3 linked regions of the Schizosaccharomyces pombe genome follow. The gene in region 3 interacts genetically with the main gene of each other region. Each region holds a gene or a part of one and is shown on either strand. Other genes may lie near its edges.

Region 1 (3,758 bases), 1.9 Mb from region 3:
AACTATTTAAGTATAGCGATTGCTTTTATAAAAGGATTTTGGTGCAGTACTAGGAATATGAATACGCGATTGATATTGAGTAATGTTCTGGCACAAGCGTTTTCAGCTGACAGATTTAAGCAGTCTGTTTTATAACTATTCTCAAGTAATACTTTCCCATTGAAAATAAAAAGTTATTTTTGTAATGTGGTTGGATTGTATAGTACGACTCTGCGGTTGAAGAAATGCAGAAAGCATCTTTGGCTAGCAATATAAATAACAAAAAAAAAAAAAAATTAGTCAAGCTAATTTTGTGTTTTATAAACAAAAAAAAAAAACCTTTGGAACAAAATTCTTAGTATACAAATTGCGATAACGTATTGTAATAGCCAGCACTCAATTTGGATTCTTAGTTTCAAGATATACATATATCGCTTGGATTAACGCTAACACCATTTTTTACGATTATTTTTCGCCTGCAAAAGAAAAAATCATAAGGGAAATATTATATATTTACACCATACCTTCGCTTTTGATTCAATTAGCTTTGATACAAATACCTGTCTTATAAAACTGGTGTTTGCCCTATTGCAACACCTCCATTCCCTTAGTACTTTTTAAAACGTTTCATTATGACTGCCAAACTCAATTCAGTAATAATTAATCCCAGCGTGGCGCATACGGCCACTGTGATTTTCCTTCATGGTATGAACGATGATAATGTTGAGACAAACATATCGTATATTTTCTTCATAATAGTAACACATTTATCTTAGGTTTAGGAGATAGTGGACAAGGATGGTCTTTTATGGCAAATACGTGGTCGAATTTTAAGCATATTAAGTGGATCTTTCCCAATGCGTAAGTAAAAGAATGTATTTAATCATGCAATTGTCTAAAGTAATGTGTGATGAATGAATGAGAATTCGCATTACATACTTTGTATTTTGATGCTAATTATTTTGTATATAGTCCATCTATCCCTGTTACCGTCAACAATGGCATGAAAATGCCAGCATGGTAAGTAATTGTTCTGCTTGATGATAAAGTACAATGTTCGCTAAAACTTTTTTAGGTATGATATCTACAGTTTTGCGGATATGAAGAGGGAGGACGAGAATGGGATACTACGTTCAGCAGGCCAATTGCATGAATTGATTGATGCAGAACTTGCTTTGGGGATTCCTAGTGATCGCATATTAATTGGCGGATTTTCACAAGGTATGAGCTGCCATGAAAGCGGTTAACTCGCTAGTCATTGCATTTTCAAAAAAAAAGTGAAATGGTTTTCACTTTTCAAAAGTATATTGCTTACTAACTCGTCATTTTCTCTAGGTTGTATGGTTTCCCTTTACGCTGGACTTACCTATCCCAAACGTTTAGCAGGAATTATGGGGCATTCAGGGTTCTTACCTTTGGCTTCAAAATTTCCATCCGCTCTCTCTCGAGTTGCTAAAGAGATACCCATTCTTTTGACTTATATGACCGAAGATCCTATTGTTCCCTCTGTCTTGTCGAGTGCTTCAGCTAAATACCTCATCAACAATCTACAGTTAAAATGTCTCGATCGACCTTTTGAGGGAGACGCCCACTCTCTCTCTTCAGAATCGTTTATGGCTATGTATAAATTTACTCAGACAGTTATTGGTTCACCATAAGTATTGTGTTTTTGGTGTTGAGACTTTGCAAATGAAGGAAATTGACGAGTCTTTTGCACTTTTAGAGTTACTCATAAAATTAAATAAGATTTACCGTGATTAACTTTTCCCTTTTTTAGAAAGCAGTTTCATACTAGTAACTTAAGACTATGAATTGTCATCCCATTTGGTAGGTTCTCTCCAACAGTTTTACTCATTTATGGCATTTTAAGGATTGAAGCATTTTGTTTTGAGTATAGATACTATGGAGTTTAGTTTTCATTTTTAGTAGCAATATTTCGCGACGCGTTCATTGTTTACATGTAGCTGCATCAAGTATAATACATGATTATGAGTGCATATACTCTATAGTTGAACTTGTAAAGTAATTAAACTAAAGAAACAAATAGATCTACTGTTTTTTTGTTGTGATTTAGAGAGGTAATTTTGGGAATTTCCGCAATATATATATCGTGGATAACTACAGCAATTCTTCTTTCTACATAGTACGAACAACAACCAAAAACCGTGTAATTTGATTAATACACGTTCAATATAAAAATAAAGTGCAATGGAAGAATTCGCAGAGGGGAATGATGATGAACAAATGATATTTAGTGACATTGAAGACCTAACTGCTCACGGTAAGCTTGAATGAGTATACGGCAGTTATAAGACTCCCAGTATTTGCTTTAAATATCTACTAACATAATCAAAGGGATTGGTATGACCGATATCATAAAATTGAAGCAAGCAGGCGTTTGTACGGTGCAAGGAGTCCATATGTCCACAAAGAGATTTCTCCTTAAAATCAAAGGTTTCAGCGAAGCCAAAGTGGATAAACTGAAGGAAGCGGCATCAAAAATGTGCCCAGCAAACTTTTCCACTGCGATGGAAATCAGTCAAAATCGTAAAAAAGTATGGAGTATTTCGACAGGATCCGAGGCACTCAATGGCATCCTTGGAGGGGGAATTCAGTCGATGAGTATTACAGAAGTATTTGGAGAGTTTCGTTGTGGTAAAACACAAATGTCGCATACATTGTGTGTCACTGCCCAGCTTCCTCGAGATATGGGCGGGGCCGAAGGAAAAGTAGCATTCATAGATACAGAAGGAACATTTCGACCTGATCGAATCAAAGCCATTGCAGAACGATTTGGTGTAGACGCCGATCAGGCTATGGAGAATATCATTGTCAGTAGAGCATACAACTCTGAGCAACAAATGGAATACATCACAAAATTAGGAACCATTTTTGCTGAAGATGGCCAATACCGTTTGTTAATTGTCGATTCCATCATGGCACTATTTCGGGTTGACTATTCGGGTCGCGGGGAATTATCAGAAAGGCAACAAAAATTAAACATTATGCTTGCTAGATTAAATCATATTTCTGAAGAGTTTAACGTAGCGGTCTTTGTCACAAATCAGGTTCAAGCAGACCCCGGAGCAGCAATGATGTTTGCGTCCAACGATCGAAAACCTGTAGGAGGCCATGTCATGGCTCACGCAAGCGCGACCCGTCTGCTGTTAAGAAAAGGTCGAGGTGAGGAACGTGTCGCAAAATTGAATGATTCTCCAGATATGCCTGAAGCCGAGTGCAGTTATGTGATTACACCTGGTGGCATAGCAGACGTTTCCTAATTGATTTTCTACCTATTCCAAAAAAAAAACAAAAAAAGAAGAGAAATAAGAAAAAAGATCAGCCAAGTTCAGCAATGCCTTTTATCATTGCGTTTGTGCTTATGTTTTAACAAAATTGAGTGCACTGATTACGTTAATGTTAACATTTTACTGCTGCAATACTATATCTTTAATACAATAATCAGTTCACTATTGGTCTCTAAAATGGCTTTAAAGAAAAAGTTTGGATGAGAAGCTCGCGCCATTTTAGATAACCAAACCAAGATTTTCTTAACTACACATTTATCAAATAGTTGCGAATGGCGCAAACCCCCAAAAGCAACTTATTCTTACGAGTCAACAAATTTGTTTAAGTAGTGTCATGTGAAGTTGCTATCGCATGTATCAATTAACAAAAGCTGAGCGCCTTTCATTGCAATCGTTGGACAATCTGACTTCCACCAAACAATTATATCGTGTGAGACAGAATTCGTCATCACCTTTGTTCCAGTTTATTTC
Region 2 (3,758 bases), 850 kb from region 3:
AATCCTTTCCCTAGTAGTAACAACTAAAATATGGGCCATAGTTGTGAAAAGTTGCATGAGTGATTCTTGGGATTTATCATCGGCATTTAACAAGTTAACTGAAGCGCAAAACGAAGGAGTGGTGGAACTAATAATTAAACAAACACCACATTTAATCAAAGAAGGAGCATTTTGCACTCGAATGCAGGATTCGAATAACGACGGATCAACCGCTTTAGTAATGTTTGCAAAGTCATCAGCACTTTCACGTGCTATAGATAAGTATAAATAAAGAAAATCTATTAAAACGTAAAACTTTGAGTCCAAAAAATTGCTTTTTTCGTATTCCTTAAGAAGAAAACCACTTATTAAAGAAACGACATTTTCCTGAAAGATAAAGGTGGATGATTTAGGGTCCAAAATTAATAATGCATTAAACAAAGATGTTATAGCAAAGGAGGCATTATATAATAATTTTTTCATTGAATAATTTAAAATCGACGATGATGTTTGAACGACAGATTGTACATAATTGGAGGAATCCATAGATAGATCGGGACTGTATATTAGAGCTTTCAAGTTATTAAACAAACATTCACCTTCCTCCTCTCCTTCAATTGTTTCTAATGAATGCATACAACCACCAAATACGTATGCTAAAGTTCTAGAAGACTAGAAAAGTAAGAAAAGGGAATAAAATTTAACACGACAGTTTAAAAATACTTACAAAATACAAATCTTCTCTTTTTTGTAGAGAAAGTAAATCTTTCATCAGGCTCAAAGACAAACTTGCATCTGATATAGCAATACTAGAACTCACACTATCCGTTGAAGCATCTTCAGCAGTAGCAACACTTGTTTTGCGCTTCTTTTTAGAAGGGCTGTTTTTTGCAGCATGCTTTGTGCTCTTAGCAAGCTGATCAGAAGAAGATAACAATTTATTGTCACCATCTTCTTCATGGGATTTTTTCATAATCGGAGAATTCTTTACATCTCTTTTCATTTTTTTCATAGTTTCGATAGCATCCTGTGCTTCACGCTCATGAAATAGGGATTTCGTTTTTGCGTATTCAATTTCTTTTTTAAGCTCCTCTAATTTCCGTTGGTATTCATCTTGCTTTTGCTTTATAGAATTATTTAACGATTCTAGGGCGGCATTATTAGCTTCGGATTGTTTTAGAAGGTTAGCACGAAGAATTGCATTTTCTCCCGACTTAATTAAAAGTTCTGTTCGAAGGTCATTAGAGGATAATGAGGCTTGTGAGTTTACGGTAGATTCCCGGACTTTTTGAGAAGAATTGGTGTATGAATTTGGAAGATTTAAATTTTGCTTTTGCTTTTCACTCGGTACAACTACTTGAGAACTTTGAGCTTGAACCTGGGTTTGAGCTTGTTGCTCTAATTCATCTAAATTCACGCCTTCAAATATTTCATCCGAACCCAAACTCTCCAAGTCAAAACTTTCATCAGCCATCATTTTGTTTGTAGCTTTCACTCTCGTTTATGCGTAACAATAGTTGTTTGAAGTGATTCCAAATTGTAATATGGGCCCAATGTTTTTCTTATTCTGTAAAAAAGAATTGAATTCATAATAAATCGTAAATTGTTTCAAATACTTTCAGCAACCTTGGTAACTGTAATTATCGTAATTCAGCAATTGGAAAACCTTAACAGTTAGTAAGCAATATTATGCAGAGAAGATAAGGCCGAAAAACCATATCTCTTTCTAGTATGAATACCACATACAAACGAAACACTAATAGCAGAATATGACTGCAGTCACTAAGGCTGCTTAATCGCGTAACTTCCTGTATGAATAATTGAACCCTTGTAGCAATATGAATTGATTTTGCAGAGCACCAACAGATATGATAAATAAGATAGTCTTTTCCAAAATGCGCAGCTATATAAGATGCTTTAACGATACGTTTAACTGCTATGAGTATTTCTTGTGATCTTTAATTTACTTGTTGAACTTGGCGTATTAGTGCATTTTGGTTAGCAATCGAATAGCCAACTTGAAGTTTTACGAGTTACGTAATCGACAATAAGACCTCAAGTACTGTAAATCACTATTAGCCAAAAATCAAGTATTTGAATTGTCAATAATAAAAAATAAATAAAATAAGTGTATGATGTTTGAATGCTTTTAAAAATAAAACATGAGAAAAATATTTTTTATACTTAAATTAAGGTGTTATGACAAATGGCTTCCATCATTTATTCGAATTAATAAACATAAAAGAATTAAAAAAATGAAAATATTATTAAAAAAGTAAGATCGAATTGTAGTCTAACCAAATATATCAATGGATAAAATGAAATAATTTGTTATTTTGTTTTATTGTAGAAATTATTAATTTCAATCTCTATTGAATACTCATAACCTCGAAAAATTTAAAAGTTATTTATTTTCAGACAGTCCAACTCCTAATCGTAGAACATTTTATAGTTTATGCTGGTTTAAACGGTTTATTGTTTCAACTCGAACAACAATGACAAAGCCTAAAATGATGATCATATGAATTAACGTTAAGTTCATTGTTTCTCCCCCATCCATTTACTATATTATCAAAAATAAAAAGGAAAAATCTAAACCAAAACACTTAAAGCGTTAATTATAAGTATGTTTAGGTCAATGACAGTCATATAAACATTGATTAAATTGATCAATGCAGTACTATATTAGTCATATTACCAGTCATTCAAATCGTATAAATTAATCCATGGCTAGTAAATTGTTTAGTGACAGAGATTTTTCTCTGACATGAAATCTGAATTATTTCTCTTGTGAATATCTTTGTTACTTTCTCAAGAGTGTATGTATGTGCCCTAGAATAGTGACTTCCTTTATCAAAACTTCGAGTTTATTGCCCTTAGGAAACGTACATAAAAAAGTTGAAAGTCATGTTTTTTCAACATAAAAAAACACAAACAAAGACTTAAATAAAACTAGTACCATTTATACAATAACATTACTTGAATTAATAAATTTAAGTGTATTTTTGCGGCATTATCTCAAGGGACTCCAGTAGATTCTACCACTTACCACCTGGCAAAAGCAACACTCCTCCATGTCTACAAAATCCTACGATTATTTAATCAAATTACTTCTCATAGGAGATTCAGGTGTGGGAAAATCATGTCTTCTTCTGAGATTTTCGGAAGACTCGTTTACCCCTTCTTTTATCACAACGATTGGAATTGATTTCAAGATTCGCACGATTGAACTAGATGGAAAACGTATCAAACTCCAAATTTGGGACACTGCTGGCCAGGAACGTTTCCGTACCATTACCACTGCTTATTATCGTGGTGCAATGGGTATTTTATTGTTATACGATGTAACTGATAAAAAATCATTTGATAACGTCCGAACTTGGTTTAGTAACGTTGAACAACATGCTAGTGAAAATGTTTATAAAATCCTTATTGGAAATAAATGTGATTGTGAGGATCAGCGTCAGGTCTCCTTTGAACAGGGACAAGCGTTAGCCGATGAGCTGGGCGTTAAATTTTTAGAAGCTAGTGCGAAGACGAACGTCAATGTAGATGAGGCATTTTTTACCCTTGCCCGGGAAATAAAAAAACAAAAGATTGATGCAGAAAACGAATTTTCCAACCAGGCAAATAACGTTGACCTCGGAAACGATCGTACGGTGAAGAGGTGTTGTTAGGCTCCTTATTATTATCTTGTCACATTTTCTTTTTCGCTAGTTTTTGATATTAGCACCGCCGATACGTATATAGTCGTGAAGTGTGTGGAGAGCTTGAAGGAG
Region 3 (3,758 bases):
TACGCTTGCCGTTTATTTTTCTTTTTTCCCTTCTTCACCTTTTTAGCTGAAAAGCTTTTGTTTTCTTTCATCGATAAGTTAGAAGTTTTATCCTTGAAATACCTGTCCTTTTGTTTATTATTATTGGGCAAGTCACTTTCAATAATCCTCTCCAATTCTGGTGCTGAGTTTGTATTTAAATAGTAAAGCACCATAAAAAGTCTATGTATGCAATCTTTAACTTCACATCTCGATAGTAGCAAATGGTCTGTTGAACCAGATATTGTTAAATCTATTTTTCGTAATTTTTCCAGTAAGCACTCTAAGCGCTCATTAGTTTTAAAATGCTTTTCATCCACCGCATATCCGAAGGTACGAATCTGGTACAATAAAGTTGTATAGTCATTATTACAGGAAGCGGAAATTTCATCTAGTCGTTGACATAAAGAAGAAAAGTCTGAATCATCATTTTTACTTTGTTTCCCAACAAATAATGTAAAAGCAATCTTCTTTCTGAATTTTTGGCAGGAACGAGACAAAGAAGATAGTATTGTAACCCAAACTCTAGGACTTTCAGACACCTTATGAATATTACTGATCAAAAAATCTGGATTCAATGATATTGGAAGTTCCATGAATTGAGAAAATTGCCATTTACAAAATGAGCCCACTTGATTGTCAATTAAGATTCGACATGCATCCTGAATCATTTCAAAGCGAACAGTGTCGTCGGAGAACCGATACAAAGTTCCACAGCATTTTAGGAAATTAATTACCTTAATTTTCAAATTGCTTTTTAAATTTTCTGAGGCTGACGTACGTTCCAACTGGATTGGTACCTGTCGTTTCGCTAAATCAATGCCAATCATATCTGCAGTAGTCTCAAAAATAAATCGTACAATTTGGTTGAGATTATTAGAGCTGCTTTTATAGCTATAAAAAATCTTTTCTAGGTTAGCAATCCATTCAGAGCATGTTGTGTCTCCTAAAGAGCGGAAAAATTGCAAGCTGCATATTGACAATGCAATATCTAAGGGGACCAATTTTGCCGATAATAAATCACCAAAAGTTGTTGGTATAATTCCTTCATTAAACTCCAAATCGTTATCTTTCAAGCATTCTGCTTTCAGGGTGTTCCAGTCTGGAACACGAGCTTTTGAATTGCTACAATATTCGTACCTAAGGTCGTCATCATAAATAGGGTTAGAACGTAGAACATTCAAAACATTTGATCCAACACTTTTTCCTATTAATTCATCAATTTCATCTCCCGTTTGAAAGGTTTGAGTGCTGTCATATTGCAATAAATTTTGTACTGCTAATTTTCTTCTTTTTGCAACCGAATCGTCAATTGTAGCAGTACTAGAAAGAAGATCAATATTCCATCTGTATGTAGATGAATTAGAAGAATCATTTTTCAAATACTGTTTTCGCGATTGGGCTCTTGCCGAAGGCACCAAAGAAGAGATATCAGGAAGCTCGTCCAACTCTTCAGAATCATCACTATCAAGTATGTGGTCAATTAATTTTGAAGAATTATCTAAATCAGGAAATTTTGAAATGTTATTAGACGCATTCATAGAACTATACCAGCAAAGACACTTTTGATGTGCTTTGGTAAAAGGGTGGATGGATATATAACAAAAATTATGAAATAGTAAATAGTGGAAAGTAAACGTTTATAATTTAATTATATAGCATTATAGTTTGACGACGATTGTTTTTTTGTTGTTTATAGTCTCATTTCATCCAATTTGAGCATTCCAAGCAAATAATATTAAACATCGAGTAAATTATTGATTTTCTTATTAAATGAATAATTTGTTAGTTTATAGCATTTCAACTGCTATTACCGGAGAAATCATAAACATATCCAAGCTGGCTTCGTTGATGTTTACATATGACTTTTCTTAAGCGAACATTCAAAAAAAAAGAATAGAAAAAACCTGTCATAAGCTTTTGTTAACAATTAATGATTTTTACTAATTCTGAGTTAAAGTTATTGGAAACCTTAGAAGAAAGAACACCTAAAACCAATTTAGGCACGTTTTCATTCAAAGAAATCTTTACAAATTACATTAAAACCAAAGAAGCCAAGTAAGGGAGTCAAACGAGTCAAACACAACTCCTAAAGAACAATGGCGACATTCAAACAGGCATTTAATGAAACAATTGCTGAGCAAGTATTATAATACTTGGCCTTATATAAGAAACGTCAAAACTTTTCTCTACACTTTAAATATTTTTGTTTTTGAAAGTAAAAGTATAGCAGATCGATTAAGTCCTTGGAGAGAACATAAGTGCGTTTAAATCATTTTATTCACTATCATCAATACAGTTGTTTACAACCTATAAAAGTATCCCACATATAGCTTGTTCTTCATACTACCGGCTTCGTAAAGGTTCGAGTTACCCCCACATAGACATTCGCAAATACTCTGGGCCTAGTCCTACGAAGTGAATGTGAACGTGAACTAGATTACGACTACAACTAGAAACTAGCGCTATGTGGGGGCCGTACAATGATGATTTATTAAACAATTATACTTCTCTTTTTTACTGACTTCTGTCATGGTTTTAGGAATCATTTAAAGTCGTTTAGTAGAAATTATTCTTTCTTTTTGATAGACACAAAAAAATACTTCGGTGAGAAGTTTAAAAGCGAATAAACGCAAAAAATCAATATGTCTTTTAAAGAAGTATCTACAGAAAATGGTGTTCTAACACCCTTGATCACAATAAAAGAAAAAGCGTACATGATTATTGAGGGACTCAATGAGGAAGAGATAGAGCTGTTAAATACTAGGTTGCCAAAGCTAAGTAAGAAAGCGCTGGCTAGAAACCGATACTCCAACATAGTCCCTTATGAAAATACTCGTGTTCGTTTAGATCCAATGTGGAAAGAAGCATGTGATTACATTAATGCTTCCATAGTAAAAATCCCTTCTGGGAAAACATTTATCGCTACTCAGGTTAGGAATAAAAAGAAATTGCGGGATTGTAAACGGCTTTGGCCTTTTTTCTTTTCATCATTTTTTGTAACATAATTACTAACTTAGTCTTCTTTATTTATATAGGGTCCAACGTCGAACAGTATTGATGTTTTTTGGAAGATGGTCTGGCAATCTGTGCCAAAATCAGGCATCATCGTTATGCTTACCAAATTGAGGGAACGCCATCGTCTGAAATGTGATATCTATTGGCCAGTGGAACTGTTTGAGACACTTAATATCGGTGATTTAAGCGTTATTTTGGTAAAAGTTTATACTTTGACATCATTAAATGAAGTTCAAGTTCGTGAATTTGAGCTGAACAAGGACGGGGTCAAGAAAAAAATTTTGCATTTTTACTATAACGGTTGGCCTGACTTTGGTGCACCACATACCTTCTCACTACTATCACTGACTCGCTATATAAAAAGTCTCTCATATTCTCCGGACTTTGAAACAGCACCCATTATAGTCCATTGTTCAGCGGGTTGTGGCAGAACGGGAACTTTCATGGCGTTATTTGAGATTTTATCTCAAACAGATGACTCTACTTCAACTTCGAAATTTGAGGTGGATAATATCGCAAATATAGTTTCCAGTCTTCGGTCACAAAGAATGCAATCTGTTCAATCGGTCGATCAGCTTGTTTTTCTTTATACAGTATCTCAAGAGCTGCTTCAAGGGAAGGAATTTCTTCTTCCTCAGTTATAGCCTTTGGTTTAGAGTTTGCTGATAGTCGATTCGATGTTAAAAACTCGTCTCATGAATTTTCGAATTAACATTATATTA

What was found.
Region 1: of nse6 (region 3) and dmc1, a mutation in one rescues a mutant of the other (synthetic rescue), as found in Schizosaccharomyces pombe (2 studies listed by BioGRID, with this or other methods).
Region 2: mutations in nse6 (region 3) and rad26 impair growth when combined (synthetic growth defect), as found in Schizosaccharomyces pombe (2 studies listed by BioGRID, with this or other methods).

What each region holds. Positions count from the first base shown.
Region 1 is NC_003424.3:3,380,145-3,383,902, forward strand, and holds dmc1 (RecA family ATPase Dmc1), read left to right. Parts: upstream 1-2,119; 5' UTR 2,120-2,187; coding exon 2,188-2,260; exon of another isoform or gene 2,261-2,334; coding exon 2,335-3,260; downstream 3,261-3,758. Other genes in the region: SPOM_SPAC8E11.04C (palmitoyl-(protein) hydrolase), read left to right, coding at 612-684, 756-840, 952-999, 1,055-1,200, 1,315-1,637.
Region 2 is NC_003424.3:4,448,813-4,452,570, reverse strand, and holds the start of rad26 (ATR checkpoint kinase regulatory subunit Rad26), read right to left. Parts: upstream 1,967-3,758; 5' UTR 1,726-1,966; intron 1,646-1,725; 5' UTR 1,457-1,645; coding exon 707-1,456; exon of another isoform or gene 652-706; coding exon 1-651. Other genes in the region: GTPase Ypt2, read left to right, coding at 3,054-3,656.
Region 3 is NC_003424.3:5,296,175-5,299,932, forward strand, and holds the start of nse6 (Smc5-6 complex non-SMC subunit Nse6), read right to left. Parts: upstream 1,607-3,758; 5' UTR 1,560-1,606; coding exon 1-1,559. Other genes in the region: protein tyrosine phosphatase Pyp3, read left to right, coding at 2,664-2,951, 3,057-3,680. UniProt on the Schizosaccharomyces pombe protein: Acts in a DNA repair pathway for removal of UV-induced DNA damage that is distinct from classical nucleotide excision repair and in repair of ionizing radiation damage.